Linked DNA regions of Macaca fascicularis. The protein of the gene in region 2 purifies or fractionates together with the protein of the main gene of each other region. This does not show direct contact. Links are inferred from orthologs where the notes say so. Each region holds a gene or a part of one and is shown on either strand. Other genes may lie near its edges. The genes, in order: COPS6 and FBXO7.

What was found.
Region 1: the proteins of FBXO7 (region 2) and COPS6 purify together in Homo sapiens (affinity purification with mass spectrometry; 4 studies listed by BioGRID and IntAct, counting the BioPlex papers as one, with this or other methods). This does not show direct contact. The link is inferred for Macaca fascicularis from reciprocal best matches to the Homo sapiens genes FBXO7 and COPS6.

The regions. Positions count from the first base shown.
Region 1 is NC_088377.1:48,741,874-48,746,307, reverse strand, and holds COPS6 (COP9 signalosome complex subunit 6), read right to left. Parts: upstream 3,048-4,434; 5' UTR 3,035-3,047; coding exon 2,965-3,034; intron 2,742-2,964; coding exon 2,616-2,741; intron 2,418-2,615; coding exon 2,286-2,417; intron 1,639-2,285; coding exon 1,550-1,638; intron 1,447-1,549; coding exon 1,384-1,446; intron 1,131-1,383; coding exon 1,083-1,130; intron 995-1,082; coding exon 880-994; intron 795-879; coding exon 702-794; intron 601-701; coding exon 500-600; intron 370-499; coding exon 229-369; 3' UTR 110-228; downstream 1-109. UniProt on the Homo sapiens protein: Component of the COP9 signalosome complex (CSN), a complex involved in various cellular and developmental processes.
Region 2 is NC_088384.1:19,146,102-19,149,914, forward strand, and holds part of FBXO7 (F-box only protein 7), read right to left. Parts: intron 2,469-3,813; coding exon 2,174-2,468; intron 1-2,173. UniProt on the Homo sapiens protein: Substrate recognition component of a SCF (SKP1-CUL1-F-box protein) E3 ubiquitin-protein ligase complex which mediates the ubiquitination and subsequent proteasomal degradation of target proteins and plays a role in several biological processes such as cell cycle, cell proliferation, or maintenance of chromosome stability.

The DNA.
Region 1 (4,434 bases), on a different chromosome or scaffold from region 2:
CATGGAAAAGCATCAGAAGGGCTTGTGAGCAAGGCTCACGATGAACCTCGATGAACATCCAAGTTGACAAACCAGTGTGGTGCCTAACAGAGAGGACAGAGCCACCAGCAGGGGTGCTCGGGGGCTGCTCCCCTTTATTATTAATGACAGCGGTTTCTCTCAAGTGTAGCGCCCTCCCCTTTGGGACAGTTGCCTGACCCCTGTCCATCAGCCCTTCAAGTACCCTCCTCAGAAGAAGAGCCCGCGCATTCGCCTGCCGATGCCTTGTCGATCATAGAGGACGTTGAACTTGTTCACAAACTGGTTCATGGTGTTGCACGTTTTCGTGATGGTGCCGAGGTAGGCCATGAGCCCCACGTCGTTGCATTGCTGGGAGGGAACAGAAAGGACAAATTCCTCAGGGGATCCCTCGTGGCATGCCCAGGGAACAACAGTCCCCGGTCCTCCACGTGAAAGTGACAGCATGAGCCCCACCTCCCCATCCAGGTTTTAAACTCACATCATAAAAATCTGTCTTGAACTTGTCTGTGCTGAGCACCGGGAGGCAGTGACACAGAGCATAGGCCTCCCGCAGGATCTCATGATTAAAGGGGACCTCTCCTAAAGGCACAAAAAGAGGCTGCATTAGTTTGGATGCTGTCACTTCCCCAGGAGGGAGAGGAAGAATGCCAGGGAAGTGCCCAAGGAAGCCCCTGTCCTACCCGCTTCAGAGGCCTTGACGTACTCCAAGATGAGCTTGACGCGGCTGTGCAGCATCTTGATGGCGCTGTGCTGTGCTATCAGGTGTTCAGCCACTGCAAAGGGACGAGGACAGGAGGAGGTTGAGACGGGATGTGGCCACACCTTCCAACCCCACTTCCAAGTAATCCCCTCCATTACCAGTGGAGTTCTCTCCACTGCCTGTTGCTGTCATTCGGGCTACGTGGTCTACACCAATGCGTTCCGCTTCCTCTGTGGCCAGAGTGTAGGTCAGCTCAGCAAACAGCATTGTGGCCTACAAGGCAAGGTAACCCACAAAGGGAGAATCAAAAGCAGGAAAGAGGCCAAAAGCAGGATCTGAGGGTTCAAGGGTAGGGTATTACCTCTCCATTGATTATATCGATGACAGACTCAAAAACGCTGACAGGAAGCTGTGAAGGAGATGGAGAAACCTGAACACTATATGCCAACATTTGGACGAGCTGCTTTCACCCATTTCCTCTCATCTCATCTTCCCAAGAAACCAGTGAAGTAGGGATTACCTCCCTTCACAGTTTGGAGATGAAATGACTAAGACAGAGTTACAGCTGGTAAGTGGCACCTGGCATTCCCCAATAGAAGAGTATCACACAGTAAAAGGCAACAGTGACAATCACGACAGAGTAGGCATGGGGTATTACTCACATCTGTGTGCTTGGTCATAGGGTTCAACTTCAGAAAGAGGGGGCTCTCAATGATCTCACACACCTGGAAGAGAGGGACAATGCACAGAAGTCAGTGACCCCCACCTTTCTCCTTCCCCTCATTCTCCATTCTCTGCCCCAGCATGCACAGGTGTGAGCATGTATACCTGCTTATGGACGTGGATGTCCGAGGGGTCAGGTGGCCCCCCTGTGGTATACCAACCCAGAAACTCCAGCTCCTTGAACACCTGTTTAACTGGAGGGGAAAGGGCCAGAACACACAGTAATTCTTTTTTTTTTTTTTTTTTTTTTTTTGAGTCTTGCTCTGTTGCCTAGGCTAGAGTGCAGTGGCACGATCTTGGCTCACCACAACCTCTGCCTCCCAGGTTCAAGCAATTCTGCCTCAGCCTCCCGAGTAGCTGGGACTTCAGGCACGCACCACCATGCCAGGCTAATTTTTGTATTTTCAGTAGAGATGGGGTTTCACTATGTTTGCCAGGCTGGTCTGTAACTCCTGACCTCATGATCCACCCGCCTCGGCCTCCCAAAGTGCTGGGATTATAGGCCTGATTCACTGCGTCCGGCCTGACATAGTCCTTTAAACCATCCTTCCTCAATGTGAAACTCCTGGTGTATTTTCACCAGCTTCTCCTCCTTTCTCAAATCCTGGCTCAGTTTAGAATAATTACTCCCTTCTATCCTGTCTTCTCTCATCCTTTACTTTCTTTTTGAGAAAGAACTCTGAACGTGTTCTTTTTCTGAGATCTCTCCAGCTACTCTCTTCACTTTTTCTCCTCTGTTCTTGGCGTCCTCTCGGGTTTCTTTCCAACCCTCTCCATCTTCCCCACCTTGCACATTTTTTTTAACTCCCACTCCTCTTCCCCACATCTATTCCACTCTCACACTGCTCCTCCTTGGTGTAATAATATTCCTTGTCAATTATAATCTTCTCTTCCACGGTGTGGGACAGCAGCTCAAAGGAGTTCATCACCTCGATATTTCGGCCCTCCTGCTTGCCAATCAAAGCCCCAATCACTGGGAAAGAGAATGACATGGAAAAGGTAACGTTAAAGAGACTTCTATGACCTGAGGGTCTGAGATGAGTGGGAACCAAGTATTGGGGAAACGATGATTTGGGGGAGGGGAATTGGATCTAGTAAAGGAAGGGGAAAAGACCACTGTCTGGGGGAGGTGAGCAAGGAGAGGAGACTGGAGTCTATGCCCAACACTCACCCTGCACAGGCCGCCCCTCCTGGGAGCGCATGCGGATCCAGTGGTCGGAGATGTTGAGAATGACAAGGGGATGGAGAGCGACGGAAACACTCCCAGTCACTCCGGAGGCCATCACGCTGGGAACTACTAAGGGTGGAGGGAAAGAGAGAGGGTGAGAGTCCGGGCCCCACGTTCTTCCCTGAAGATAGCAGTGGGGGACGACGGAGCCCGGGCCACACTTTTCCTCCCGCAACTTATCCCAGAGAAAGATGTTGCTGCTCCGCCCTCCTCCCTTCTCCCGGGAGCACAGCAAGGCCTCAACGCACCCCTGAAGGAGGTCTCCGGAAGCCGCCCGCGCACGGCCCGTTACCTGCTGCATCCACCTCCATCCCGCTGCTCCCTCCGGTCCCGTTTGTAGCTGCACCCGCCGCCGCCGCCATTTTCCCCGCGCCCGCCAGCCTCGGCCCCGCCCCCTTCCTTCCCGGCTTCCGTAAGGCGAGCAGCGCATGTTCTGTGTCTCCGCGGCAAGCGGCGGGCCTGGCGTCCGGGGAGCAGGCAGTTCCCGGGTCGCGGCGGGCGGCACTCGGTGCGGGGAAGCCCGACGCCCTCTGGGCCTCGGTGCCTGCCGGTTTTCCCAGACCCTGTCCCCGCCTGTCGCCTGCGGGTGACCTTGGACAAATTAGTTAACGATTTGATTGATCGTCCTCGTCTGTAAAATTGGGATAAGAACTCCTAGTTCTTAAGGCTGTTGCAGAATGAATGACATGTCGTGTTATTTCCCTCACAATAAAATCCAGACAACTAACCACAGCCTGCAAGGCCCTGCCTGATCTGGCCCCGGTCTGGCCTCTACTTTTCTAGCCCTTGATCTTCAGGCTACAGCTGCACTGGCCCTCATGTCTGGTGGTGGTGGTTTGTTTTGTTTTGTTTGAGACAGGGTCTCGCTCTGTCGCCCAGGCTGAAGTGCAGTGGCCTGATATCAGCTGACTGCACCCTCAAACTCTCAGGCTCAAGTGATCCTCCCATTTCAGCCTCCCGAGTAGCTGGGATTACAGGTGCACCCCACCACACCCAGCTAATTTTATTATTATTTTTTTATTTTGATAGAGACAGGAGTCTCACTAGGTTGTCCAGGCTGGTCTCCAACTCCCTGACAGAAGCGATCCTCCATCCTTGGCCTCCCAAAGCACTGGGATTACAGGCATGAGCCACCACACCCAGCTCTCCGTGTCTGCTTTCCACATGCCTCACTCTCGCATTCAGGAGCCTGTGTTTCCTTCTCTTGTTCATCGTGGTATCCCCTGTGACCAACACGGTACCTAACACATTGGTGCCTAGATACTTTTTGAGTGAATGAAGGAATAATTTGGGATGGAATCTGGTGTTGAGTTGCTCCATCTTGTGAAAGTTGCAGATACCAGGACAAAAATCACATTGTCAAGTCCAAACAAATTGGAGTCATGAGAACACCAAGCAGAAGGGCTCATGCTTGCATGTCTGATATAGGGACTGTCTCAAGGACTTTCGAAAATAACCCCACAAGGCCAGGCATGGTGGCTCACACCTGTAATCCAAGCACTTTGGGAGGCCGAGGCTGGCCAATCACTTGAGGTCAGGAGTTTGAGACCAGCCTGGCCAACATGGTGAAACCCTGTCTCTACTGAAAATACAAAAATTAGCCGGACGTGGTGGCATGTGCCTGTAGTCCCAGCTACTCGGGAGACTGAGGCAGAAGAATTGATTGAACCTGGGAGGGAGAGGCTGCAGTGAGCTGAGATCGCACCACTGCACTCCAGCCTGGGCGAGACAGAGTGAGACTCCGTCTCAAAAATAAATAAAT
Region 2 (3,813 bases):
CAAATACTATGAAAAGTTTCATCTTACTAGACAATTTTAAAGTACACAGAAGTAAAAGTAATGGGCCCTACTAAGTTATCCCAGAACAAGCCTATCAGCAAAAAAGACTCAGAAACATAATTTAAATATACAGCAAAATATTCTTACTCATTCCCCAGTTTACCTCTGTGAGGCAGAAACACACTGATACAACAATAATTTTAAAAATAAACTAAAATCCACATATCTGGATATAATTTTCACAACTTACCAATCTATTAAAAAGTATTTTTTAATATGTCTATACTTAATGCCATGACAAGTTACCATGAATACTTATACCCAAAAATGTTTAAGGTCAGCAATTAAGTTGAGGTGATAAGTGTACATACAAAAAACAATTAACAAGATGGCACGTGTATTGGTATTAAAAAACTAAAAGTGATCATCTGCACCATTCAAACAATTAAAAGGTCGGATAAAGGCTGGGCATGGTGACTCATGTCTGTAATCCCATTACTTTGGGTGGCCAAGGTGGGTGGGTCACTTGAGGTCAGGAGTTCAAGACCAGCCTGAGCAACATGGTGAAACCCCATCTCTACCAAAAATACAAAAATTAGCCAGGCATGGTGGTGTCTGTGGTCCCAGCTACTTGGGAGGCTGAGGTGGGAGAATCACTTGACTCCAGAAGGGTAAGGTGGCAGTGAGCTGAGATTATGCCCTATACTCCAGCCTGGGTGAGAGAGTGGTACACTGTCACACAAAAAAAAAAGTGGGAAAAATGATGAGGCATGTACAAGGCAATAAAGATAATCAGATAATCAATACAAAGAAATTAAAGAAAACTATTGGGCTATGGTTGGCAAGGGCTTAGGAAGATGGGTAGAAAATATAGACAAGAGAGGGAGGAAAGGTAACAGGTTCCAGTCTGGGTGAACAGTAAGATCAAAGTCACAAAAGCAGTCACCAGGTTGTGTGTATGCAGATGCATGCAAGCAGGTGCATGTGCTGGCTGGTGGGGGCGGGGGGAAATGATGGTCTGTTCTGATTGGAGATGACAGTTTAAAGGAGGGAAGAACAGAAACTACCCCTAAAAAAGTTGAGTGGAGTAACTTTCCAGAAAGCCTTGAGCACCAGGTACAGGAGGACAGACGTCATTTTCCTCTTCTGTAAAATGACAGGGTCAATGAACTAGAGATACATGGTATTTTTCAGCTAAAAAATTATGAGCACAAGTTTATGAGAAAGAGTTAATGAAAGCCAGCAAGGGAACAACAGCATCAGAACCATGTAGGAAGAAGGCAAACCCAGAAAACAGACTGAGGAATAAAGCCATTGGAACCCGAAATGGAAAAGAAAAACTGACAAAGCTTATTAATGGGCTAGATTTAAGCAGTCAAAAATCACAGAAAACCAGCAGTGCCACTGACAAAGAAGGGAACATGAGCACACATATTTCCAAATTTATGTTGAACATATAAAGTCTGCAATGACAATTTAAAAATGCAAGTATAAATATCCTGCAAGTCATTTGGAAATAATTGGACCACATCCATAGCCTTAATGAGCAGACCAGATCAGAGAAGCAAGGCTAGGAATCATGAGCTTAGGAACAGTAATAGAAGTCAAGGGATAATTCATCTGAAGGACAGTATGTGAACAAAACAAGCAGAAACTAGGTACTTTGGGATGCCAGCCCCATATTGGTATAGGCATTTAGCAGTTAAAAAAATATATTCTATAAAAATATAATCTGCAGTCAGGCACGGTGGCTCATGCCTGTAATCCCAGCACTTTGGGAGGTCGAGGCAGGAGGATCACGAGGTCAAGAGATCAAGACCATCCACACCAACATGCTGAAACCTCGTTTCTACTAAAAATACAAAAACTAGCTGGGAGTGGTGGCGTGCACCTCTACGCCCAGCTACTTGGGAGGCTGAGGCAGGAGAATCGCTTCAACTGGGAGGCAGAGGTTGCAGTGAGCCGAGACTGTGCCACTGCACTGCAGCCTGGTGACAGAGCAAGACTCCGTCTCAAAAAAAAAAAAAAAATATATATATATATATATATATATATATGAAAAATAATGTGCAATCTATTGATGATAATTATCCTGACTGGAACAGAATTCAACTGAGGTGTTCAATATGACTTATCACCTACTCTATTTGATATATTGGTCTTTAATACCCACCGTACTGTCGTCATTCCAAACATCAGACTGGGCTGCCTGTCCTTGGAATGAATCACTTGGTTGTTCATCCTGTATGCTAGTCTCATTGGAGCTGGTGGCCAAAGAGGGTTGGTCATTATTCTGGAGTGAAGAATGCTCTGAATCTGTGGATGAAGGTAAATTAGGCGCTGGAATGTCATCTTGAAGAATCAAACATATCAAGTCCCCAGAAACAATCCCATAGGAAGCCAAGGTCTCTTCATCTCCAGTGAGGGCATCCTTGTAGTTCAATGTAATTGTAAATCGGGTATCAGAACTGCCAAGAAAGATGGATAAGCACAGTAAGAGCTACCTACTTCTGTTACCTTCAACAGCACATCTGAAGCATACATAAGCACACAGTATGACCCTAGAAGAACTAAGTCATGAAGAGACAAGGTCTCGCTATGTTGTCCAGGCTGGTCTCAAGCTCCTGGCCTCAGGCAAGCCTCCTGCCTCAGCCTCCTGAGTTGCTGGGATTACAGGCATAAGCCACCATGTCCAGTTACATTTTTGTTTTTGTTTGTTTTTTAGAGACAGGGTCTCACTCTGTTGCCCAGGCTGGAGTGCAGTGGCACAGTGGCACAATCACAGCTCATGGCAGCCTCAAATTCCTGGGCTCAAGCAATCCTCTCACCTCAGCCTCCAGAGGAGCTAGGACTATAGGCACAGATGACCCTACCAAGCTTAAAGTTTTGAGAAAATTATCAAAATTATTTATCAATGAATGCCTAATCTATAGATTTCTAATGGCCAAAACTCTCCACCTGGGGGACAGGATACAGTAATTCTCTATCATTAATCCATGCTTTCCTCAATTCTAAGATGTACTTTTTTGTATTTTGACATCTTTGAAATTAAGATGCTTCCTAGAATCAATCACATATCAACTGACAGCATTTTTCCCCTGCTGTTACATAAAACAATGTGTCTTCCAAGTGACAGCATGTAAGATTCAATGAAATACCTTTAAAATACAAATTAGATCACATCATTCCTTCACTTAAAATCTTCTAATAGCTTCTATTTGGAATCCTTAACATAACTTCCAAAGCTCAACGTTTGATCTCTTCCCATTTCTCCTACTGCATCCTATGCCATCCGTCCTCTCTCACTGTTCTCTATTCACATGAGCTTTCCATCAGTTCCAAAAAGTAGATCAACTTTATTGCAGCCTTCGGGCCTCTGCATTTGCTCTTCCAGATCTTCAAATGACTGACTCCTCCTCATCATTCCAGTCTCAGCCCAAATGTCACCTCTTCAGAGATGCCTTTCATTCAGACTCCAGCACTCTCTATTCTGCTATGCTCTACTTGGAAACGTCATTATCTACTTAGCTATTATCTGTCTACCCTACCCCTGCTACTAGAACTTCAGTTTCATAAGATCAGGGATCATGTCTGAACAGTTCAAACCATATCTTCAACACTGGCAAATAAAGTATTTGTGAAATAAATGCAACCACCAAACATTAGTTGGAAAGATCAAGATGAGTGTGAAATCAAGGATGTCTATTCAATATCCTTACAGGACAGTTTACTCACAATGGTCCCAAAAAACCAGATCCATATATTCATAATCACAAAAAGTTAGGGGAGTGTATGTATATGACTGAGTATAAA